7 linked regions of the Mus musculus genome follow. The protein of the gene in region 2 interacts with the protein of the main gene of each other region in a pairwise test. Links are inferred from orthologs where the notes say so. Each region holds a gene or a part of one and is shown on either strand. Other genes may lie near its edges.

Region 1 (2,955 bases), on a different chromosome or scaffold from region 2:
CCTCTTAAAAAACAAAAAATAAACTGGGCAGTGGTGGCTCATGCCTTTAATCCCAGCAATTGGGAGGCAGAGGCAGGCGGATCTCTGAGTTCGAGGCCAGCCTGGCCTACAGAGTGAGTTCCAGGACAGCCAGGGCTACACAGAGGTTTCTGTCTCGAAAAGACCAAATAAATAAATGAGCTGGGTGGGAAAGCCCCATTTTGAAGTCCGGAAGAAGGCAGCAAAGGACTAGAGTGACCACTTGGCACTGCAGAGGACACGATCAGGTCTGCTATCCCAGCAAAGGCACAGGGCGATCCTGTGAATTCAGATAGTGGGAGTTGGAATGATGATAAGTCATCTCAGAGCCTTCTGGAAGGGAACAAATGACCCAGTAAAGCCAAGAGCTGGAGATGCGAGCACAGGTTTCCAGTGGGCATCTTCGAGGGCATCACAAGCTTCTGCTCCCATCTAGCGAGGGCTGGAAAGAACTGGACATACACGAGAACAGAGGAGGAGGATGACAGTTTATAAACATTTGGAATTTTATTTAAAAAAAAAAATCACAACCATGAACATTGTTACAATTAGAGGCCCTCTTGGTTCTCCACAATGATACTGAGCATGCTCACAAGGGGTTCCCATTGTTAAGTCTTAAAACAACCATCTTAAAAAGGAAAAAAAAAAGAACAAATCAAAAAACAACAACAACAAAAAAAAACTCAGCACACTACTATTTAACTTGTTTTAATGTTTCTTCACAAATGGTGAAAATACTAAAGTACAGACAAGGAATAATCATAATGTTGTCGCCAACATTATAAATATGGAATTATAAATTTAAAACATTTTCTGGTTTAAAAAATAAATCTGGTCGTCAATGCAGCTCTGCAGGTCTCTAGTAGGGCCGGTCTCTGCGTTCCTGACGGTGCTCGCCTCTGCAAAGCAAAGGGACCCTTAGGTCAAAATGAGAAAGGACAGAAAACCCTGTGAGAGACCCCAGACACCCCAGGACTCACTGCAGCAGAGGTTGGGAAGGGGCAGTGCTCTCCCACCACATACTTATCCATTTTCCCAGGTCCTCCACGTCCGCCTCTTCTTCCTCCCATCTGTTCCATTAAAGGTCCAGGAGGCCCCCCAGGACCACCTCGTCTTCCTCCACCAAAGCCACCTCGGTCCATTCCACGGCCACCTCGGAAGCCTCCTCTGTCTCCACCTCTGCCACCTCTGAACATTCCTCCAGGACCACCACGGTCCATGAGTCCTCCTCTTCCTCCTCGCATGCCACCAGGGCCACCTCGTCCACGATCACCACCTAAGGCAGAGACAAGAGTGACAGGTGAGTCAGGAGTAAAAGCCGAGACTGAAGACCTGCTGTGGTAGATCTGCTAATCCTTCTCCTAGAGCAGACACTACTCAATCACCAGGAAGCTGAAGTGCTCCAGAAAACCTGTACCTACCCGGAGGTGGAAAGGGTGGCGGGAGGAAGCCCTCGGGCTTAGGGGCCTTACACTGGTTGCATTCTGTTCTCCAAGCGAAGTTCTGGTTTCCACAGCCCCTGAATAAAGTTATATCACAATAGAAATCACCAAGAGAACTGAGAAAGGTGGAGATTCACACCACACTCTACACAGTTATGGAGTTTCAGGCACAAAGCACAAGGACCTGCAGACAACCCCAGGCCGTCCTGAACCTCCAGAAGCAGTCAGTGCTGAGTGTGTGTCCCCCCCCCCCCCCCCCCCCCCGTCCCGTCCCGTCCCGTCCCGTCCCGTCCCAGAGTGGGAAGAGGGTGTCATCACTAGCACGCAATCTGCTGGGAGAAGTACATACGGATTGGGACACTGCCAGTCTCCAGCTCGGTGCTGGACATTTCCTCCTCCAGAGGGGTTTCCTCTGGAGCCTCGGGGCCCTCTTGGAGGGAAGCCCCCTCTGTCTCCTCCACGGCCTCCCATGCGACCCATGGGTCCTCCAGGGCCTCCTGGGCCACCAGGACCTGCAATAACAAACAGTTCATCACCTCTCTATAGCAGCTTTGTCATGGTGCCCTCTCCTGTAAACTCACAGTGCTATCCACACACTATTCTTTCTGCGTCATTTCATGTAGCCTCCAACTATGGCATTTTCATAGAAGGAAATTGACATCTGGGCAGATGTTCTCTAGAGCTTCCACTCCCTCTAACTAGTTAACCCATATTATTAATGCAGTGTTGGCTTTCAATGGCCTAGTATCAATTTTACATACCTTTTCTTTGTTTATTATTCAACTAAGTTTCTCAAGGGAAAAAAACCAAAACCAACCCAACCCAACCCCGTTTAACATAACAGCACAATAGCTAAAACAAAGTGCCTAATACCTCCACGAAGTGGTGGTGGCATCCCCCTGCCCTCACGAGGTGGCATGCCTCCCCGCATGCTGTTCATTGGAGGCTTCTTTCGGGCAAGAGACACTTTAAGTTTGCTTCCTTGAAAATCTTTCCCTGGAAAAAGATTAGAGAGCATCAGTGAGCCTCACACTCCAAACATCCCTCTCTGAGCAGTCACTTTTCAGCAGACTCCACCTTACTCAACTCCAGACTTCCCGAAGCATGAAACCTGGCCCCTCACAACCTCCAGGCTCTTTCCTGGTCTGGCTGGGAAAGTATCACAGTTGGTAGGCTTGTTTAACACGGCCAAAGGCTTGGGTTCAATCCCCAGCACCACATAAAACCGAGCATGGCAGCCAATTAGCCTAGGACTATAATCTCCACATTTGGGAAGCAGCAGTAGACTGGAGGATCAGGAAGCTCAAAGGTCAGTACTAGCTACAGATGGAGTTTGAGTCAGCCTGGACTACATGAGATTCTTACACAAGCAGAAAGAAAATGAAACAAACAAAACAACTTCACTGCTGAGATGAGAATAAAAGATGTTAAACTACATTCCTGTAATTCTAGAATTTTGCAGGACTGTCAGGTTTAAAAATCAGCCTGCCCACAT
Region 2 (3,500 bases):
AAGACCATTGAAAACCACAGATATTTACATGACAACTATCACAGTTATGAGGTGGGAATGGAAGTAATTTTGTTGCTGGGGTCCACCACAACATGTATAACTGTATAAAAGGTTTGCAGCACTAGGAAAGTTGAATAAACTACTGTGCTAAATGAAGAAGAGATAATGTTGGCTCAGAAATAAATTAACAACCATGACAACCATTTATGTTATAGTGCATACAAAAGAAATGAACTGATTAAAAGGTATGATATATACGACAGGGTTGTGTATCATTTGCATTTACTGTACCAGGGCATGTATTCTATGTTCAAAATATATGCATCAAAGACATACTAAAATGAACATTATATGGGTTGGCAAGGTGCTATTTAGGAATAAAGTAACAATTAGTGAAAATAGAATCAATGAACTTGAAGTAGATGAGGGAGGCATATATGGGAAAATATGAAGGGAGGAAAGGTTATATATCCAAACAAAAAAGACATATTACTATATCTAACACAATTTTTTCCTCAGAAAGTCATCCATTGTTTTTCTACTATGATAAATTTAAAAAGTAAGTTTCTACACTGCTTTCTCATTTTAATCACCTTTTGCCTGCATTATCTTGTTTAATATTCATAAAGGTTATGACTGAATCAATTGTGATTACTTTCGTTTTAAAGATCCATAAACGGATGCTAAACATTTAAATAACTTCGCTAAAACTATACAATGAGTTTGTGATATAAGGAGGCCTGGCCTCACTACACATACATGTATCTGGTCTGGTCTACACTAAGTTGACTAAGATGCCTTACTTATCCTTGTGCTAAAGATTCCCCTGGAAAGCAATGGAAGAAAGAACACAGGATCATCAAGCTATATTATATATAGAGATATATTTCTGGAGGTTTCCAGATGAGACCCAATTAATAACCATGCACATGAAGTTAAAACATACTCAGATTAGTGTGCCATTATTCTGTAATTGTGTCTCGACAAGATTAATGTTTGGATCAGACATATAACCAGAAACTGTCGCTAGGCCTTGCTGTTTTTACACGTAGAAAATTCTATGATACTTTTGGTTTCTGGTTTTCAAAACCACTACAATGAATGAGTTGTAAATGTCACATTCTTTGAAGTTTCTACTGAGTATACAAATCTCCAGTTTCTTCATTTGCAGATTAATCTCAGTGAGGCACTCTCTGAGCTCAGGATTTCTTCAAGATCTTCCCAGGAATGTTACTTGTCATTCTCTCAATATCTCAGCACTGAACCTCATGGCAAGATTTCTGTTGGAGGACCTTTTCCTAGAATGTGCACAATTTTCATCTTTAAGACTCCATGCATTTACCTCCTCCTACTTCTTAAATATCAGTAGAGAACTCCATTCAATTTGCAGTTGAATTGGCAGGTGAGCATCCTCTATTACTCTAATACTGAATAATGAGTTTATATTTGTAATTTTTAGGTTAATATTTATTTGCCATCATTAATATAAACTTATGCTCTGTTTTGTATCAGCCAGCACCTGACATACTATCACCTAAAAATCATTTACTATTTGAAAGTACTATTAATGGCTTGTTATAAATAATATTCAATCCCATCCTCTTTTTACTGTACTTTTGTTTTCCAATTATAAACATGTTACATGTTAAGGCCTTCAAACAGGGAAAGGTGGCTTCAATAATGTATCTTTTTCTTATTCTTTCTAGCTGTGGACTGGTGTATACTTTGTAACTGATTGGTGATGAATACTTTTGTCAGATTAGTTGACAATGTCAACAAGACAGGTCTTCCAGTATGTACCTTGTATTATCGACTCTACACATGGATAACTAAAGAGCCTTGAACTCATTGGCACAGGTGGGAATTTCCTAAACAGAACTCTAGTGGCTCAAGCTCCAAGATTAAGAACTGATAAATGGGACCTCATGAAACTGGAAAGATTATATAAGGCAAAGGACATAGTCAATAGGATAAACTGGCAACCTACAGATTGGGGAAAAATCTTCACTAACCTCACATGCGATAGAAAGCTAATATCCAAAATATGCTAATATCCAAAATATATAAAGAACTCAAGAAGCTAACCTCCAAAAAAAAAAAAAAAAAAAAAAACAAACAATCCTTTCAAAAATCAATGAAGATCAAAGACACAACTTAAAATAGAAACTGATGAGAAACCATTTGTAAAATCAAAAGTCACTTACAGGAACCAGGAATTTTTTAATCTCTTCCAAGGCATGACTCATCCGTGAATAAGCTTCCCCGGGTGGAGCAAACACTTCAATTAATACATGCAGCTCATCACTCAGGTGGGCATACTTGGCCTCCCCACTCTTCCTCAGCTCTTCTTCCTGTGAAGAAGTTATATTTTGACATATGGATCCACTCATTTTGCATTAATTTAACATTTCTTGAGAACATGACAAAGGGCTACCATGTAAGCAAATTTTCCAAAGGGAGAAAGAAATTCTTTGAGAAATAAATATCTGCTGCAAGACAGTTAACCATTTTCAAATCATTTTCAAATTTGGATTTTTAATGGCACCTGCCATTGTCCTCAGCTGCACAATTTTTAACCAGTTTAATGAAATGTTAACCTTGTGAGGGTGAGACATTTAAGTGATGTTTATTCTTGTACAAACATCACTGCATTTTTTGAGGACAAGGTTCTTTTTTTATCTGATGTAAAGTACTTTTCAAATAATAAGTAGATGACCATTGAGTTGCACAGGAAAATCCATTTTAATATTTGCAGAAATTACATGAAATATTGGTGGGAAACAAGGGCTCATCTTTCATGCAGTTCCCCCACTGCCAAAATATCACAGAGAAATACAAGAAAAAAAAGACAATACTTTTAGAATTTCAAATTGGACAAACTTTGCTTAAGAAATATAAAGAGCTAGGAAGTACCTTTCAAAATAATCACATTTATAGTCATTAGGGAAACAAAAATCAGAACTACTTTAAAATGCCATCTGACTCCAGTCAGAATGGCCATTGTTGTGATTGCAATGCCAACACTGTGTGTGTTGTTGTGATAAAGGTGAAATATTTTACACTGTTGGTTTGAGTGAAAGCTAGTGTAGCTACTCTGGAAATCAGACCAGAATTTTCTCAAAAACTAGAAGTGCCATATGTCCCGATATTCTAGGCCACACCCAAGGACTTTCTATCATTACAGGGACACTTCCACTGGCACTCTTTTGGCACTAGCTGAAAATGTACCCAACCTAGACATTCAAAAACAGATAAGAAGGTAATAAAAATATGGTATATATAGCAATATAATTCAGCTGTATTGATAACCAAAATAGCCTAATTTTCAGGTAACTAGATAGAACAGGAAAAGATCCTAATTTCTGAAGCCATGAAGGACAAAGGGCACCAGTTCCCTCTCATAAGTGGATTCTTATTTCAGGTCTTTTGTTTTCCATATTTAAGTTGCAGCCCAGGTAGAAGTCATGGAAACTCAGAAAAAAAAAAAGGTATTAGCAAGA
Region 3 (2,583 bases), on a different chromosome or scaffold from region 2:
TCTCCTTCCGCCGGCCACCCACCCCAGTCCGGGATGCTCAGGCCGTGCGACATTACAGGATCTGGAAGAACAACGAGGGCCGGCTGCACCTGAATGAGGCGGTATCCTTCTCCAATCTGTCTGAGCTTGTGGACTACCATAAGACCCAGAGCCTGTCTCATGGCCTACAGCTGTCCATGCCCTGCTGGAAGGTAGGCCACTGGCTCCTCTGTGACATAGTTGCCCAGGGTCCTACTGGTAGGGTATAATATGGGGGGGAGGGGATGGGGGCACAGGACAGGGCAATCTCCTTGGCTATTGCTCTTATTACACTGGCTCACCAGAGCTCAGATGTGCTCCTGCTGAGGACCAGTCCCTAACATTGATGGATGAAGACAGCAGCAATTTTATGAGGATATCCAGATACTGGATCTATCTCTAAATTTAAAAAAATAGATAATAAATAATAAATAATAAATAGAGCTCCTCATGAGGGGTTGGAGCAAGCCCTTCCTGAAGACAAGCTGGGCGACCCAGCCCCCATTCCTACCCATTCCTATTGCCCTTTCTGTCTCTCCAGCACAAAACTGAGCCCTTGCCCCACTGGGATGACTGGGAGAGGCCGAGGGAGGAGTTCACACTCTGTAAGAAGCTGGGGGCCGGCTACTTTGGGGAGGTCTTTGAAGCGCTCTGGAAAGGCCAGGTCCATGTGGCTGTGAAGGTGATCTCTAGAGGTGAGCAGGCCCAGGACTAACTCAACATGATCACGTGCTGCTTCCCCACTAGTCCTTCTAGTAGGCACTTCCAGTCTTCCCCCACTGAGGGTATCCCAACACACTTGCTGGGCACCCACAGCATCATGGTGGGAGTAACTTCTTTCAATTGTACCTGGTTTTGTTTTGTTTTGTTTTTTGTTTTTGTTTTTAAACAAGTCACTGGAAATGTGAGTTTCATCTCAAATCCCAACGTCACCCTCAGGTTTATACCTGAAACCTCAAGAATCAGGTCAGCCAGGACTTTGAAAACATCTGGCTGGGAAATGCTGACTTTGGCAATTGTGACCAAGTTGGGCACAGGAGGGCAAATGGACACATCAGTCTTGGGGCACTGAGGGCTCGGGGTGGGGAAGGCTTTAGTGTGGTAGCTTGGAGGCCAGCCTTTGTCTTCCTAGGCTGACCACATTGCCTGACTTGCTTCAGGAGGTCTGGGCCAGGATCCTGTTTGGGGCACAGGTCGAGGGCTATACTCACTGAGGTTGATGTCTCTCAGACAATCTCCTGCACCAGCACACCTTCCAGGCTGAGATTCAGGCCATGAAGAAGCTGCGGCACAAGCACATCCTGTCACTGTACGCTGTGGCGACTGCAGGGGACCCGGTCTACATCATCACGGAGCTCATGCCCAAGGGGAACCTGCTGCAGCTACTGCGTGGTACGTGCAAAGCTCCAGTCTCCTTTCCCGGGTGAAAGTGCTGGAGGCAGCATTTGGAGGCACAGACAGCCTGCTCTCTGAGCTTGAGGCCAGCCTGGTCTACAGAGCAAGCTCCAAGACAGCCAGGGCTACACAGAGAAACCCTGTCTCAAACCTTTCTCCTTTCCCTCCCCAAACCCCCCAAAACCAAAGATATAAAACAATCAAGGAAAGACATGCACATGTACACATGTATACATGTGCACACACCCTTAATAATGAGTACATGCATTACATCACACATGCTACATTGCCTCATACATACAAATCGTTAAAAAAAAAAAAAAAAAACCAATGGTGGGAGAGATGGCTCAGTGGGTGAAGTGCTTGCTAGGCAGGCACGAGGACCTGAGTCTGAGTCCCCAGAACTAGTTAGTGTAAAGGCAAGCACAGGAGTGGGCTTCTGTTACCTGAGTCTGAATCCTCAGAACTAGTTAGTGTAAAGGCAAGCACAGGAGCGGGCTTCTGTTACCCCTAGGCTTCTACGGTGAGATGGGAGGCAATGGGAGAATTCTTGTTTTATCTGGCTCAGTAGCAAACCACAAAACCATCCTGGAACACGTCACTGGTGAAGACTAACACCCGATGTTGTCCTCTGACTTCCACATACATACACACACACATCATACATACATACATAACAAAAGAGACAAGTAAATGGTCTTATTAAGTACAAAAAAAATCTACCAATTGCTGATCATAAAATTTGAAAAAGTACAGAAAAGAACTCTCCCTCACAATTTCTATCCTCACAGTTAGCTGAGGTTACTTTACTATAGGCTTGTGTAGCCTGCTAGTGACTTGCCTTAGCCCACCAGCTTCTCTCTAAATTCTAAATTCTCTCTCTTTCTTTGTGTTTCTCATAAAGAGCTTGATCTCATAAGCAGTTTCTGCAGGAAGAAGTCTCCAGAGATGAAACTCATGCCCCTTGTAGGTGTAGTACTTGCTGGCTGCGCATTATCTAGAGTGTTCAATGGCTACATACCAAGAATATCTTGCAGCAATGCTCTTGACCTTAGATTGCTTTATGATTCCCAGAAAGGGTGTCAGACAAAGAATATGCTCTTTGTCTCTAGGTACATAGCTGCAGAAGGTCTAGGCCTTCCCATTTTGCAATTAAGCCAAGCCAGCTGC
Region 4 (3,234 bases), on a different chromosome or scaffold from region 2:
GCCTTGATTCGCTGAACTCAGCAGAAACACAGAGCCCTTCGCGTGTCCGCAGAAACATGCCCAGAGAGAGGCCAAAGGATGGGACTTCTGTCATAGACTAAGTCGTGTGAGTGCGAGCCTTCGCTTTGAACTCGCAGAACCTGTAATGACTCCTATGAAGACAGTTACCGGAAGTCTTCTTATCCTTTAGGGACAGGGACACCCCCTACCTGCCAGGGTGGCAGAAGTTATGACATCAGACTTTGAGGAATACCTGACGCCCACCCACCACACTGTGCGAAGCGATTTGGGAAGGTGAGAACTCCAGTCGCAGGCAGGTCTGACTGTGGGCGGCTCTGCTTCTGGCCAGCTGTGACTCTGGGGTTCTCCAGACCCTCCCCTAGCCACCTTAGGAATGTCCTCTAGGCAGTGCATAACCGCAGTGTTCCTGCCAACCTCAGTGCATCCCGTAGTGTCCCCATCCCTGTTTCCCTCTGAGACCGAATACACAGGACCAGTTATTTCCTTCTTCAACCATTTATTAGGGATTCAGGGAAAGACCTGAGGGAGGGTTCAATAAAGGGGAGGAGAGGGATCATAGCTGGTCATGGGGGTCGTGGCGGTGGAGCTTAGCGGTACTTCTCAGTCAGGATAGAAGACAGGATAGACATGAACTTGTCCCAGGCTTCGTGGACCTCAGGGGTGAAGTCGGCGGGAAAGCGTGCGGCCATTGTGACCAGCAGACAGTGGGACAGGAGCTGCGGAGGGAAGGGAATTTCAGTGCTCAGTGCAGCAGAGACCCCACCCGCTTTTTTTCCTTGTCTCTTTCTCTGCTGACCTCTCCCTCCCTTCTCATAAACCCACCTTGAAGTTGACCGGATCCACACGCAGGATGTAGGCATGCAGCTCGCTCAGCTTAGTCAAAGCACTAGAGAGGTTGTCGATGCTCTTAACCGCATCCCCTACGGCGGTCATGATCTTGAAGCCGTGGGCCCGCAACTGCTGAGACCCATGGTGCAGGTCGAAGTGGGGGAAGTAGGTCTTCGTCTGGGGGTAGCTGCAGAAGAGCCTAGGGGCCGGGAGAAAGCGTTAGTTTTACAAGTAAGTATTGGTTAGGGAGAGGGCTAGGACACTGGCTCTTGCCTTGGGCTCAAAATGTAAGGGATATACAAATTTAAAGACCTACCAGACAGAAAACAAAGTAGTGGTTTACATAGTATTTAAGGAAATGAAATGCAAAAAAATGTACATTGAATAATACAAAAAGCATTCGGAGAGATGGCACTTACTGCCCTGGAGAGAATGCACTACTGTCCGTAACTAAGATGCAAGGGGATTTGATGCCTCTAGCTTCTAATGGCACCTACGCTTGCGCTCTCTCTCGCTCTCTCTCTCTCTCTCTCTCTCTCTCTCTCTCTCTCTCTCTCACACACACACACACACACACACACACAAAATCTTTTAAAAACAACCCCAAGAGCGATGTTACTATTTCCTATTGCACAAGGGTCTACATGGCAGATCCCTGTATCCACTCTGTATCCACTCACTCTCTATCCACCTATAGCTGTTTATTCATCCATTCATTCCTATTCACTCAACAAATACCTGAGGAGCCACATGGAAGACTCTGGTGAGCTCTGTGAATGCCAGCCCACCTCCTTTAGCAGCTTGTCTGCCTGCCTGGATCCCCTCCTCACAAGCTTTGATCTCTCAGTCCTCTCCACGTTGTCCTCTCTGCCTCTGTCCTTACTGTCCTGACCATACTGTCCTCATGACCCCTTCTCAGTGGCTTCTCCTCACTAACTGCTCTTTGTCACTTCTGTCTCACCAATCCCTCTTCTGACCTGCTTACTCAAGCCATGGTGCCTGGACTTACCTCTCTAGAGTCTCAGTGCCAATGGGCTCGGCCTGAGCAGCCATCTTCTCCCACATGGACATGATGATAGCTCTCTCATTCTTCATCAGAGACATGGTGGTGGTGGTGGTGAGGGTTGGAGGCTGCGCTGGAGTTGAGTGCACTCAAGACTGGCCTGATGGTGCTTGTCCCCAGTGTCTCCTTTATATACACATGGTCAGGGACCTGTCAGGCTGTGGCCACTGGTTAGGAGAGGGGAGGGGGCTTGCAGGGTGGAGCCTGTTATCAGAGCCAGCAACAATGGGAATTAGGGCTTGGTGGGACTGTAAGGGCAAGTGCTATCGCTCTTGCCCACTGCCCATGGCCTTAGGAGGGGTGTTGGCCTTAGTCCCACACAGAATCCAGGAGAGATAGGGGCCCAGCCATGTCAGGAGGTCATTCTTGTATCCAGACCTGCACTGTCCTTTCTCATTTCAGAATCACAAATTGTCTGAGCCATCCCTGTCACCTAATGTCAGTGACTCTTGGGTTCCCTCCAAGGAAGCAGTAATTCCTCTCACTTAGCACTGAGGGAAGATCATGGAAGTCTGCTCTCACTAGGAGGAGTAACGGGTCAACAAAAGATCTCCAGTCTCCAGCTAGCCCTCCATACCAACCAATATACAATGAAATGCACAGTTCTCTTAGTTTTTATCTTAACATGGAGATAGGTTGGTTTGCTCATTGTCCTGGACTGACACATATATAGATCTATGTAGCTCCACCATCTTAAAACTCCACAGCCACCCATTTGGAGCCCTCATCTTCCTCTTGCTCCTAACCTAACCTAATTCATCCTTTTCAAAAATGTGTGTAACTGGAATCATACCATATTTTACCTTTTTAAGACTGGCTTTCTTTCCCCTTGTATAATATCCTGTAGATCCATCTGCTTTTGTATTCACCAGTAGTTGGCTACTTTTTATTTTGTGGTATGAATATGCAGCAGTTTGTCCTTCGTCCACATTCACAGAGAGACCTCTGTGTGAGCTTACAATTCTATTTCTCTATATCTGTGTCAGTTGATACATCTGTATCTAAGAGTAGAATTCCTGGCATATGCAAGGTGTATATTTAATCTTATAAAGAATTGCCAAACCATTTTCATGAGTGTCCTTACTACTTTATATTCCTATGTATCAATGCCAGCCTTTTTTGAATCTTAGCTGTTGGATAGGTAAGTAATGATATAGCATGGTGGCTGAAAACAGAATTTTTCCAATGGCCAGTGATGGAAGATCTCTCTGGGTGCCTATTTTTCATCTTTGGTATTGTCTCTGCTCAAGCACGTTGTCTACCTATAAAAGGTACCTTGTGCACATTTCAACTGGGCCATTTTCTTACCAGTGATTTATAGA
Region 5 (4,143 bases), on a different chromosome or scaffold from region 2:
CAAGAGTTGGTTCTCAGTAGAGAACAAAACCAAACCACCTACACTAGTCTGCCCTTCCCCTGGTGCACCCTCCTCCCAGGCCCAGCTGCCACCACCGAGGCTGAGCCTCCCCAAGGCTCCCATCTGGCTCACCTGGCATAGTAGTCTCTGGAGCCTCCATAACCCCCACTCCGGGACTCAAAGCGGCCACCTCCATAGCCCCGGTCTCCTCCTCCTGTAGATGATCGAGAACAGAGTCAGGGAGTCCCTACTCCTGCTGCAGTGCCACCACCAGCTGCCAAGGCACCCCAGCACTCACCTCTGGAGAACCCTCGGCCCCGGCTTCGTCCCCCACGGAAAAAGCCCCGGCCTCCAGCAGAGCCACCCCGGTATCCTCGGGACCGGTTGTCAGAAGACTTGCCAGCCTGGTCAACTCTGATCTGCCGCCCGTCCACAGACTGCAGGAGAAAGTTAGGGTCACTGTACCCGATTCCACACCAGACCTATCCAAGGTAAATTGGCTGACCTGATCCTCACCTTCCCATTCATAGCCATCATGGCGTCCTTAGCGTCATCGATATTTTCAAAGGTGACAAACCCAAAGCCTCGGGATCGCTGGGTCTCCCTGTCCTTTACCACCACCACTGCAGGAGAGAGACATTAGATGTGCCCAGTCAGCCCTCTGCCCCCCACCCCCACCCCCAAGTAGAAGCCGAGAACAATGATCCTGACCCAAGACTCACCTTCGGAGATCTGCCCATACTTGGAGAAGACCTGCTCCAGCGCCTGCTCGTTGGTGTCGAAGCTGAGTCCTCCCACGAAAAGCTTGCCTTCATCTGATGCCATGGCAGCCTATGCACACACCATAGATGTTTGCCTTAACCACCACCCCTTCCAGAAACTGAAGCCAAATAGCATATTTAAGAATATGCTTTTCAAAAAAAAAAAAAAAAAAAAAAAAAGAGTAACATATTTTATGTGCACTGGTGTTTTGTCTCCATATATGTCTCTGATGCTGTCAGATCTTGGGAGTTAGTTATGAGGTGCCATGTGGGTGTTGGGAATTGAACCTGGGTCTTCTGGCAGGCAGGCAGTGCTCTCAACCCCTGAGCCAACTCTTCAGCCCCCCACATTCTTTGCCTTTAAAAAATTGAGACAGTGTCTCCTTTTATAGTCCAGGATGGCCTTGGAACACCTGTAAGGATAAGTCACTGAAAGCTTTAAGGAGTTAAAGCTGCCTCTTCCCATCCCTTACCTACATATGTATGTATGTATGTATGTATGTATGTATGTATGTATGTATGTATATAAATAAAAGTAACCCACAGCTGGACATGGTGGTATATGCCTTTGATCCCAACACTTGGGAGACAGAGGCAGGCAGATTTCTGTGAGTTTTGAGGCCAGCCTGGTCTGCAAAGAGAGTCCAGGATAACCAGGAGTACACAAAGAAACTGGGGGGGGGGGGCTAGGGGGGAAGCATGGGGGTGGGGGGAGAGGACCCCATGGTCTTACTGGGAAACCTCAGCTTCAAGTGGGGTTTCTTTCACACCTCTCATCCAGCCATTCAAGTCACCGAGATGGGAAGATCAATGAGAAAAAGGACACTGTGGATCAGTTTGAGAGACTGTTTCAAAACAAATACCCATCTCGCCTAGCCTGTGGGAGTTGGAGGCAAAGGAACAGAATCCAAAACCAAATACAATTGCACAGCAAGTTCAATACCCTTCTGGGCTACACAAGAGGGAACTCTTTTTGCTTTTATCATCCCAAAGGCATATGGAATACTTTGTCATACAGCTGAGGCTAACCTTAAATGATTCTAGGTCTTGATTACACCTGGCCAGAGAATCCCAAGGTTAGGATCAAAATGGCATGGTCACTTTGCAAATGTGTGTGGTTGGGGACAGAAATGATAGTGACTGCCTACCCTCACTAGCATAGAGTTGTTGGGCCAGAGAAACTTCACTACTGAAATACGCTTTTAGGGTACTGTCTGGAGGTGTGCCAGTTGTGGGATGCCTCGCTTACTCAGCCAAGGACTAGAGAAATGTTTTTGCACGATGGACTCAAGGGAGAAAGGAGGTTGGCCCAAGAGGCGTGGCTAGCGAAAGGGGCGTGGTATCTAGACAAAGTCATTATTGGCAACCGACAACTTGGAAAATAAGTCCACTATACCACGAAACCAGTCTACCTTGGGGGCAATAAACTTGGGGCACAAAAGGACAACATTCAAGCCTACATGTGCTTTTTTGTTCCCCACGTGGAACCACAAGGGAAGAGAAAACCGAGGTAGAGCCAGCTGGAGTAAAAGGGTCGCACGCGACACAGCTCCACATCTGCGGACAACCGGACTTTGGAGGTAGGAGCGCCCCGCCCCCGGAGCAGCGCATGCGCCAAGCGCGCACCCTGCGCCATTCCATCCGGGCACTCGGCAGTCCCGCCATTTCGCCGGCGAAGCTTTTCAAAGCATCGCGGCGGCCATTTTACAAAAAAAAAAAAAAAAAAAAAAGCCCACCGTTAAGGTCGGCCTCGGCCCGGGGATGACGCGCGGTGGAGGACGCCCTCCGACAAGCGTGAGGCCCCAGTGTCCCGCTGCCCGCCTCGCCGCCGGCGGGGCGGACTCCAACCCGGGCCCGCCCCCAAGTCCCAGGGGCGTGCCGCTGCGGCTCCGCCTCGCCCGAGAGTCACAGGCCGCCCGCCGCCCCGGGCCCCTCAGAGCCGGTGCCGCCAGAGCCCTCACCGCTGAGTCGGGCAGGTCCCTGACGCGAGCGGGAAGACAGCGCGCCACACACACCCAAGCTTCCTAAGGCGCGAGTGCGAGGGGGAGCGCAAGAGTCCCGCCTGATATACTCCACTCCTGGAGCCACGCCCCTTAACCCGCCCACCACGCCGCGCTGACCAATCCGACGCCTTAGATTCGGCATCTGCGCCTCGGTGGAGGGGCGGGACTCCGTTGGCTTTGCCCTAGTCCGCGCGGAGGCGCTGAGTGTTTTGATTGGCTGGAATCTTTCCTGGCCGCATTTTTCCCCCCCACCCCCCGCCCGCTAGCGACTAGGAGGCGGGGACAGCTGATTTGGAGGCGGAGCTGACCCACTTCCGCGTTCCCGACCCGTTTGTCCTGCGGCGGGGAACAAAGAGCTTTTGCTACCTCAATGAGACTCCCAAATATGGCTCCAACCTTGACTCATCGACTCAACACTTTTATGTTCTTTTTTTTCTTTTAATATTTAATTACAGTTATTTAACTGAGGCGCATTTGTGAAGCCAGAAGACAGATGGAGTCTCTCCTTCCATCATGTAGGTCCTAAGGATCATACTCAGGATTAGCCACAAGCAGCTTTATCCACTGAGTCATCTTGCTTGCCCCTCTTCTCCGTTCTTGCTCATGAAACCAAAACCACCGAATTACTCTAGTCCAAAAGTACCTCCCAATACAACTGCTGCCTAACAGTTCTTTGGACCCCAAGGACACTCCATAAGATCAGCCCTAAAATTTCCATCCCAGTATTAATCACAATGTCAAGATTTTCTCTAGATTTCCTGCACCCAACTCAGTTTTCCTACAAATCTCAACCTGCTGTATAACGACCATTTGAACCCTGATTTCTGCCCATCTCCAACCAGGTGTACATTACCACACAGATGGCAAAACACCACTCTTTTCAATGTGTACCTGCATTTTCTAGAAGAGACCCCAGAGTCTCAAGCATGCCATGGAAGGATTTCTATCCTTGAGCCACACCCCTAACCCCTCACTGCAGAATTCTAAGTAGTGGCTAAACCAAGCTACATCCTTAGCCTTCTTAAACACACACACCACAGAGAACAAAACAAAAAAGTGTATTTTAATTTTATGTATATGGGTGTTTGCCTGAATGTCTATGCAGCACTTGCCTATCTTGCGCTGACAAAGACCAGAAGAGAGTGCTGGATCCTTTGGATGCAGAGGTCCAGACAGCTGTGAACCTTTATGTGGATTCTGAGAATTGAACCCACGTCCTCTGCAAGAGCCCTTTACCACTAGGCCATTTGATCCTTTGAGACAACCTACATTTTTCAATCTATCCTTGAAATCCGTAGGCTCACATCCCAAGTAGCTGTGATAACAGACCCATGTCTCCAGGCTACATTTTCTTCTCCCTCCACTGTGGTTTTGAGAGT
Region 6 (3,500 bases), on a different chromosome or scaffold from region 2:
CTTACTGTGTGGTTGTGGATGCCTAAGCTCATGTGCTATATCTCAACAGATCTCCACAGCAGCCTTATCATATGCCTGGTAGAAAAGGGTATGGTACCTGGAGTGGAGTGAAGGCCACACTGGAGGCAGTCCCTGAGGAGCGGTCACGAATTGTTGACTTCCCACCATACACCACGCTCTGTTTCTGTAAGGTCCGCTGTAGGGAAAGGGGAGGCTGGGATCCAGGCTCACTGACCTCCATATCCCACCTGCCTCCCATTCTCATGGGCCCAATCCATACCTGCAGTGTCTTGGAGATCCTGGCCTTGGTGGCCTCATTCACCTGGGTCTGCCGCACACGCCCACTGCCTGACTTGCCCAAGTGGCCCAGGCTAAAGCCCAGGTCTTCCTGATAGGCATCCTCCTCAATCTGGTGAGACGAGAGCAACCTGCGGTTAAGAAGCTGGGTACATCCAGCCAGTCCCCTGAGGCAGTCACCTGAGAACCCAATCAGCCAGTCTCATGGACACCACCTCATCAGCCAGGGGACTGGCAGCATTAAGTGACCTAATAAGAGCCTACCCTATTGGCCAGAGTCCATCATCCTTAGCAGTATGTAATTAAAGCTCGCTTCACATTTGTCTCAGAAAAGAAAAAACAAAAACAAAAACAAGAGCCTATCCTACCTCTGTTTGGGTATAGCTAGGAACCCTGGGAAGAACTGGTTCCTGACCTGAGTAGAGTAGCCATTTTTTCTCTACATCCACATTAAGTTGCCAAGAATTGGGATGAGCCGCGCTACTGAGGTGGCACCTAAGCGGATTCTTTCAGGACCACCTAGATGACAGTCAGATATAGAAGCAGCCTGGAGAGCTGCGTGGGAAGCCAGCCAGCTGAGAGCTGCAAAGATCACCATGGAGAAGGTGGTTTAAGAGGAGAGGCTAGACAAGAGGGAGGAGGGTTGGGTAGCCCCAGATCTGCTCTCAGATTACAGGGTGGGGAGGAGGGATGGCAGCAGGATGTGCAGAGAGAAGACCCTAATATGGTCCCACTGGTACTGTGGATCAAGCCTGACCTCTCCAAAGCTCATGCGGTTGGCCTGCTTCCGGATCTCCGTCAGTCCTAGCCGTTCCTTCATCTTGCGGTACCTAGGGCAAGTGGGTGTTAACAGGATATAGGGAGCTGGCTGGGAAGAAGTTGTTTCCCTTCCCCACTTCCAAACGTCTAGCCCCATCAGAACTCCTTACCTTCGGCCCCCTCGCTTCTTCCGCTGCCCATCAAGGGGTGCAGGCAGGGGCTTCACCTGCTTCACGGGTGGTGGCTCCTGCCACTTATCAAATTTGCGCTCAATCTCATCCTTTAGTTCGTAGCCCACCTAGGGGGGAGTTGAGAAGCGGTGGCCAGCCATGTAAACTGTCCCCTCAGCCAACATCTATATATCATCAACCCATCTATTGTGTATCTGACCACCTGACAGTGTGCCCTCCCCAAGACATGTTCTTCACGTTTGTCCAGGAATGGTGCTCTGTGGGTTCCAGTGCCTAGTGCTCCTTGAACTTGTAGCTCAGGTTCAGTCCTCATATCTAAGCTCTGCACCCTCTGGATAATTGTCTCTGTCTGAGTCCTGGGCCAGGCAGAATCCCTGTATTCTCTAGTCAACAGACAGCGTGTCATCTCCACTGCCTTACTTCCACACCACAGATCCCCCTGGCCTCTTAGAACAGACCCCAGCTAGCCTGCTTCTCAGTGCCTCTACAGCAGCCAGAGGCCCTCAAAGGTTGTACACATTATCTGCTCCTGGAAGCAGAAGGCTCCTCTCCCTGCTGGGGTTCACTCAACTCTGGCCTCAAGATCTTTGTACTCACTATTCACTCTGTCTGGAGCACTCTTCCAAGTGGATAGCACAAGTAGCCACACGACTGACTATAACTTCACTCAAGCCCAAATTAAAACGTCCTCAGAAGTTTTTCTTCACATTCTCTGTCATCAGAGTCTAAGCTTCCTAACCCCACAGCCCCCCTGATTGCCCCTGGCATTCACAAAGCACCACTGAACCCACTACAGACTTTTCAGAACTACTGCCTAGTTGTTTTGGTCCCAGCTAGAACATAAATGCTGTGTGACACAGCAACCTCCAATCCTAGCTAGCAGCTGGAGCAGGAGGATCAAAACTCGTTCAAGGCTTTCCTGGACTAGAGATAAGACATGTCTCACAAAAGGGTGAGGGTGAGCTGAGGATGTATAGATCTTATAGATGTATGTTCAGTGGTACAGATCAGTTGTCTAGAACACGTAGAGTCCTAGGTTCAATCCCAGTATACCCACCACACACACACAAAAGCCACTGAGGCAGACCTTTGACATCTATATAACCCCCTGCTGTACTGCCTTGTTTAGAAAGTGGCAAAAGGCAAAACCAAAGACTGAACCTCTGACCTGGGCTATGATGTAATTTCTAGCAGGGAAATGCACACAGTATTGTTTCTTAAGCCCACACAGAAAAATAGATGGTATCACTGGAATCATGTCCCTGCTAGTACAGGACAGGTCCTACTATGGTAGGCAAAATACTGTCCCTTCCAACACAGGGCTACACCTTGGTGTCAGGTGTCCTGGTCTCTAGGATCTGTGACTACATTTTACATGGCAGAGGATCTTTGCACAAAAAGCCAAAGATCTGGTATCATGGCTTCTACACCAACACCTCACCTATCTCCTGAGACAGGGTCTCTCACTGGAACTTACTGATTTGGTTGCCAGGCCCACAAGCTCCAAATGCCCTCCTGCCTTCACCTTCCCAGAGCTGGGGTTAGTTACTGATGTGAAGTACTCTGCCTGCTTTCTTTTTTCCCTTAACCTGAGTTAGGAATTGAACTCAAGTTCTCATGCTTGCATGCAGGAACTGAAGTGATGGAGCCGCATCTCCAGCCCTGGGCTTTTTTTCTTTTCAAACACAGGATTTCACTATGCAGCCCAGTCTGGCCTGAAACTTATATAACCCAGACTGCCTCAAACTAATGATCTTCCCACCTCTGTCTCTCAAGTATTGATGTTAAAGAGGCCTAGCCAACTTTTATATGAAGCTACTCCATCTATAGTGAGTTGTCATAACTGATACAGAGCTGAGAATGTGATGGCCTCAGTAGGGGTTGCAGACAGACACATCTGTCTGCTAGTCAGAAGAGGTCTCTGAAGTAGCATCTTCCCATGAAAAGACCCCAAGCACCAGGGACAGATGCCTGTCCTCTCCTCACCTTCCCTTCTGTGCTCTCATGGAAGCTGTCCACACGAGCTGCCAGTGTACACTTGGCAGCCACTAGGCGGGCCGCCTTCCGCCGGAGATCCTGGAGCAATGGCAAGGAGAAAGGAAACTGAACCTCTAGAGAAGGTAACAGCCACTACAATAGTCACTCCTCATCTAGGGCAGCCATACCCCAGACTCTGGGAGGTAAGCCTCATACCCGTGGGCTCTTCTAATAACAGCCTCTTGAGGGGTACACTCTGGCTGCCCCCCAGTTTCC
Region 7 (3,500 bases), on a different chromosome or scaffold from region 2:
ATGATCTCATTTTCAGCTAAATATTCAGAGAGGAAGAATTCAGAAGCAAACCCTCCCACACACTGGACACAAGTGCTGACAACCTTAAAGGAAACATAAGCAAATAGATATAAACACACATGACAACGATTGCACAGGACATATGCTCTGTAAATAGAACCATGTGCTTTGCCTTTTTGAATGCATGCTGCTAACCCTCTGGAGACCAATTTGCGAATAAGACTTTCCACCTAGATTTCTGGGTGAGCGCTGCGGAGTTGGATTTAGTGCTGAGGATGTCTGCTTTGAAGACATTCTGAACCTCCACACCAGCCCAGGGCTCTGTATTGATCTTTACCATGGATTTTGCCTGAATTAAACTAGCTTGGGCTTCAATGAAAACAACATTTTTAACTACAAAAAAAGATAACCTATAAACAAGAGTGGGCACACATACACACACACTTATACACATACACACAGACACAGATTAGGAAAGTATACATTGAAGAATGCTTAGGTAAAAAGACTAATTAACATAGGTTCTAATTAGACCCTAGAACAAGGTATTAAGCAAGCTACACAGTATAGATCATGTGTTTCAATGTCTTCCCCAAAACTCTGATCCTTCAGAGAGCAGATAATTATGATCAGTCCCTCAGCCCCGGGTCCTGTCACTCAGCACTCTGGAGTCCCTTACAGGTAGCACTTTGCCATCCTCTGTGCACACACACATGATCACTTCCACGTTCCGCTGTGTGGTCTTGGTGTACTTGTCAAAGTCACCTTGTAAGAGAGTGATGTAGATGTCGTTCCTGACATCCCCTAAGGATGGAGAGAAGACCAGAGTTAGAGTCAGGCACTAACCACAGAGGTGGAGGGGACAGGGAGAAGCAGGAAGGACCATTAATAAAATGAAAATCCGAGCAGTTTAGAAAGGGCATTTTTTTTAACCTGACAGGAGGGATGGAGATGTAAGTAGCAAGGGAGGGTCGGAATGCTGGAAAAATCAGCAGCAGAAAGCCAGGTGGGGTGCTCAAAACTGGCCATGTTTTCTCTGTTCAAACCATTGCATTTCCATCCTCTAGTGACACCTTCTGGGAAGGTAAAGGAAAGCACCAAGCGAAATGAGCTTGGCCCTCAACCACGGATAGGCCTTTTTGTTGCACAAAAGTAGGGTTGAGGGATTTCCCATGAATCCTAGAGTCTAAGGGTGAAGGGCCAGGAGCACAGGTTGAGTGAGCTCCCGAAGGGAGTGAACAGCAGACATTGAGATCTCAAGTAAAGCAGATATCATTAAATCACAGTACAGGCCCCACCCTGGACCACCACCACTTAGCTACAGGAGAGAAAAGGATGAGTCAGAGGGCGTGTCATTACACAATCTGCCTCATGAAAAGCCTCAAGCATGTCTTGAATGCACTAATAGGCATGGTTAGTTAATAGGAGAGGCACAGAGAGACTTGCGGGGACTTCTGAATACCTTGTATGGCGTTTGGACATGTTACTGTAAGCATGGGTCCTTCAGACTATAAAATATGCTCTAAAAGCTGGAGAGTAGCACCACTCCGCCCCCCCCCCCCCGAGTAAAATGGGATCTTGGTATGAATAGTAAAACAGAGATGCCACCCGTGAGCTTCTGACTGACAAAGCAAGTTGCAGAGCTCCAAAAATGCTTATTAAAGTAGCGGTGCCTATAAAGAAGGACTGGGAGAAAGGGGATCTATGTTACTGTATGGGAAAACATGGTTTGCAGTGGTTTTGTTCAGGTAGAGGAATAAAGTAAAGGGAGTTGACTCTTAGGAAATTATGAACTACACAGCTGGACTCCTCAGCCCTGCTCATGGCCCTGCCCTTGAGGAAGGTCACTGCAGCTGTGTCCCACCTGGCATGATGATCTCTGGGAAGCCCAGCTTTCGGGCTACCACAGTGGTCCTGTCCACCAAGTGTGGGTAGTCTTTACGGATCTGAATGATGTCCCCCACCAGCATCTTCATGGTCACCCAAAGGCCTGGAAGGGAACACATGAACATTCAGCTTCTGTCTCTCTGTCTCTCTGTCTCTGTCTCTCTTCCTCCTCCTCCTCCTCTTCCTCCTCCTCTTCCTCCTCTTTCTCCTCCCCCTCCCCAATTTCCTCTCCTCCATCTCTCCTATAGGAGACTACTGAAATAACAGATACATTCACAGATGCAACAGGCCAACCCCAGGGGCTCTGGGCAACGTTCACTTATAGCTGGGTCAGCCTCTGACAGTTATTACAATCTCTGCACCCGAGTCTCCTAAAGCAGAGAGGATACCAGCTCATGTATCCCAGGACTTGGGTAAGGATGAAACCACTTGTAACTTAAAGGGCAGCACACAGGAGAGAGCAACTCCTCACTGTCACTTATGAAAGGAATGCCCATCCCATGCTTCCATGGGTGGTCTACAGACCACATGCTTCCCACTGTACTGTCTAGTCCAGGACTTGGACCCATTTACTGATGTCGCAGAGGCTCCTGAGCTGCAGCAAGTTTATCGTACTTGGACTCTGTATGATGGTGACTCCATACCTTGCCCTCCACTGTCTCCCTTGGAAGCTATGACTTTGCCCAGAAGGCTGTGAAGGAAATCGTTCTCAGCTGAGACCCTAGGAAGGAAAAGAGAGCACAAATGTTCCTGCTTTGCCCGATGGGAAGCTCCATCTTGTGTCCTAGATTTCCACATGGGAGATATCTAGCACCACTTAGGTGCAAAGTGAGCCTTCCATGTCAGCTCAGAGAAAGCAACACCCTCTTCACAAACAGTATGGCTCTGCGATTTGAGGCAACCAATGACTGCCACAGTCGTAGGCATTCATGTGACAGGAGAGATCGCTACGGCTCTGACATGAATGTCTTCTCTGGAAGGTAACAAGGACTTCAGTAGCTCCGGAAGACCTAGTCACTCACCTTTGGCTAGAGTCACTGGCTCCATTACCTGGAGATCTTTGTGGTGCTCAATCTTGACACTGCTCTCAACATGGGTCATTTTCAAGCAAAAAAAAAATTATAATTACCTCCTTGGTTGCCCCTGCTTCTCATGTCACAAATATATATGTGGCTTCCACAAAGGGCTCCCAATAGGCTGCTCCTTCACACTCTGTGGTCCCTGCTACACTTGTAATTAATGCCTTAAGCTTTGGTTGATTATCTGCTTAATTACCCATCTGAAGTATAAGCAGGGTCACATTGACCTTGTCTACTACTTCACCCCTGAGCCTGGCACTCTTCCTCTGGCTGCAGTAGAAGTTTCTGGATCATTAGCATGTCAGGGTGCCCTCTTTGGAGGCCCACCTACCCCCTTACTAAGAGGAGGAACAAGTTCACCCAGGGCAGCAGTAAGAGTAGGGTGGACAGCCTGGAGCCACACGGGAGTGACTTACGGGTGAAATGGAATAAAATGTTGCTTCTCTTCGTCGCTCTCTGCCTTGCCCTTGATGATGTCGGTGATGTCCATAACTAGAAAGACAGAGGAAGTGAACGGATGTTAGTTCAGCCAGG

The links.
Region 1: the proteins of Khdrbs2 (region 2) and Ewsr1 interact in a two-hybrid assay, tested with the Homo sapiens proteins (2 studies listed by BioGRID and IntAct). The two-hybrid records come from large-scale screens. The link is inferred for Mus musculus from reciprocal best matches to the Homo sapiens genes KHDRBS2 and EWSR1.
Region 3: the proteins of Khdrbs2 (region 2) and Ptk6 interact in binary tests that used the Homo sapiens proteins (3 or more experiments, as listed by UniProt). The two-hybrid records come from large-scale screens. The link is inferred for Mus musculus from reciprocal best matches to the Homo sapiens genes KHDRBS2 and PTK6.
Region 4: the proteins of Khdrbs2 (region 2) and Hba-x interact in binary tests that used the Homo sapiens proteins (3 or more experiments, as listed by UniProt). The two-hybrid records come from large-scale screens. The link is inferred for Mus musculus from reciprocal best matches to the Homo sapiens genes KHDRBS2 and HBZ.
Region 5: the proteins of Khdrbs2 (region 2) and Cirbp interact in binary tests that used the Homo sapiens proteins (3 or more experiments, as listed by UniProt). The two-hybrid records come from large-scale screens. The link is inferred for Mus musculus from reciprocal best matches to the Homo sapiens genes KHDRBS2 and CIRBP.
Region 6: the proteins of Khdrbs2 (region 2) and Prpf31 interact in binary tests that used the Homo sapiens proteins (3 or more experiments, as listed by UniProt). The two-hybrid records come from large-scale screens. The link is inferred for Mus musculus from reciprocal best matches to the Homo sapiens genes KHDRBS2 and PRPF31.
Region 7: the proteins of Khdrbs2 (region 2) and Dock2 interact in binary tests that used the Homo sapiens proteins (3 or more experiments, as listed by UniProt). The two-hybrid records come from large-scale screens. The link is inferred for Mus musculus from reciprocal best matches to the Homo sapiens genes KHDRBS2 and DOCK2.

What each region holds. Positions count from the first base shown.
Region 1 is NC_000077.6:5,069,187-5,072,141, forward strand, and holds the end of Ewsr1 (RNA-binding protein EWS), read right to left. Parts: intron 2,457-2,955; coding exon 2,334-2,456; intron 1,973-2,333; coding exon 1,810-1,972; intron 1,538-1,809; coding exon 1,440-1,537; intron 1,295-1,439; coding exon 1,042-1,294; intron 936-1,041; coding exon of another isoform or gene 918-935; coding exon 878-917; 3' UTR 501-877; downstream 1-500. UniProt on the Homo sapiens protein: Binds to ssRNA containing the consensus sequence 5'-AGGUAA-3'. Might normally function as a transcriptional repressor. EWS-fusion-proteins (EFPS) may play a role in the tumorigenic process.
Region 2 is NC_000067.6:32,413,722-32,417,221, reverse strand, and holds part of Khdrbs2 (KH domain-containing, RNA-binding, signal transduction-associated protein 2), read right to left. Parts: intron 2,352-3,500; coding exon 2,205-2,351; intron 1-2,204. UniProt on the Homo sapiens protein: RNA-binding protein that plays a role in the regulation of alternative splicing and influences mRNA splice site selection and exon inclusion. Binds both poly(A) and poly(U) homopolymers. Phosphorylation by PTK6 inhibits its RNA-binding ability.
Region 3 is NC_000068.7:181,197,207-181,199,789, reverse strand, and holds part of Ptk6 (protein-tyrosine kinase 6), read left to right. Parts: intron 1-27; coding exon 28-191; intron 192-559; coding exon 560-713; intron 714-1,248; coding exon 1,249-1,410; intron 1,411-2,583. UniProt on the Homo sapiens protein: Non-receptor tyrosine-protein kinase implicated in the regulation of a variety of signaling pathways that control the differentiation and maintenance of normal epithelia, as well as tumor growth.
Region 4 is NC_000077.6:32,275,383-32,278,616, reverse strand, and holds Hba-x (hemoglobin subunit zeta), read right to left. Parts: upstream 2,018-3,234; 5' UTR 1,954-2,017; coding exon 1,859-1,953; intron 1,049-1,858; coding exon 844-1,048; intron 738-843; coding exon 609-737; 3' UTR 501-608; downstream 1-500. UniProt on the Homo sapiens protein: The zeta chain is an alpha-type chain of mammalian embryonic hemoglobin.
Region 5 is NC_000076.6:80,166,496-80,170,638, reverse strand, and holds the start of Cirbp (cold-inducible RNA-binding protein), read right to left. Parts: upstream 2,801-4,143; 5' UTR 2,723-2,800; intron 2,469-2,722; exon of another isoform or gene 2,222-2,468; intron 911-2,221; exon of another isoform or gene 832-910; 5' UTR 826-831; coding exon 723-825; intron 624-722; coding exon 517-623; intron 438-516; coding exon 299-437; intron 215-298; coding exon 133-214; intron 1-132. UniProt on the Homo sapiens protein: Cold-inducible mRNA binding protein that plays a protective role in the genotoxic stress response by stabilizing transcripts of genes involved in cell survival. Acts as a translational activator.
Region 6 is NC_000073.6:3,636,485-3,639,984, reverse strand, and holds part of Prpf31 (U4/U6 small nuclear ribonucleoprotein Prp31), read right to left. Parts: exon of another isoform or gene 3,324-3,500; coding exon 3,234-3,323; exon of another isoform or gene 1,355-3,233; coding exon 1,227-1,354; exon of another isoform or gene 1,128-1,226; coding exon 1,055-1,127; exon of another isoform or gene 410-1,054; coding exon 281-409; exon of another isoform or gene 197-280; coding exon 98-196; exon of another isoform or gene 50-97; intron 1-49. UniProt on the Homo sapiens protein: Involved in pre-mRNA splicing as component of the spliceosome. Required for the assembly of the U4/U5/U6 tri-snRNP complex, one of the building blocks of the spliceosome.
Region 7 is NC_000077.6:34,703,906-34,707,405, forward strand, and holds part of Dock2 (dedicator of cytokinesis protein 2), read right to left. Parts: intron 3,459-3,500; coding exon 3,383-3,458; intron 2,609-3,382; coding exon 2,532-2,608; intron 1,991-2,531; coding exon 1,865-1,990; intron 805-1,864; coding exon 680-804; intron 1-679. UniProt on the Homo sapiens protein: Involved in cytoskeletal rearrangements required for lymphocyte migration in response of chemokines. Activates RAC1 and RAC2, but not CDC42, by functioning as a guanine nucleotide exchange factor (GEF), which exchanges bound GDP for free GTP.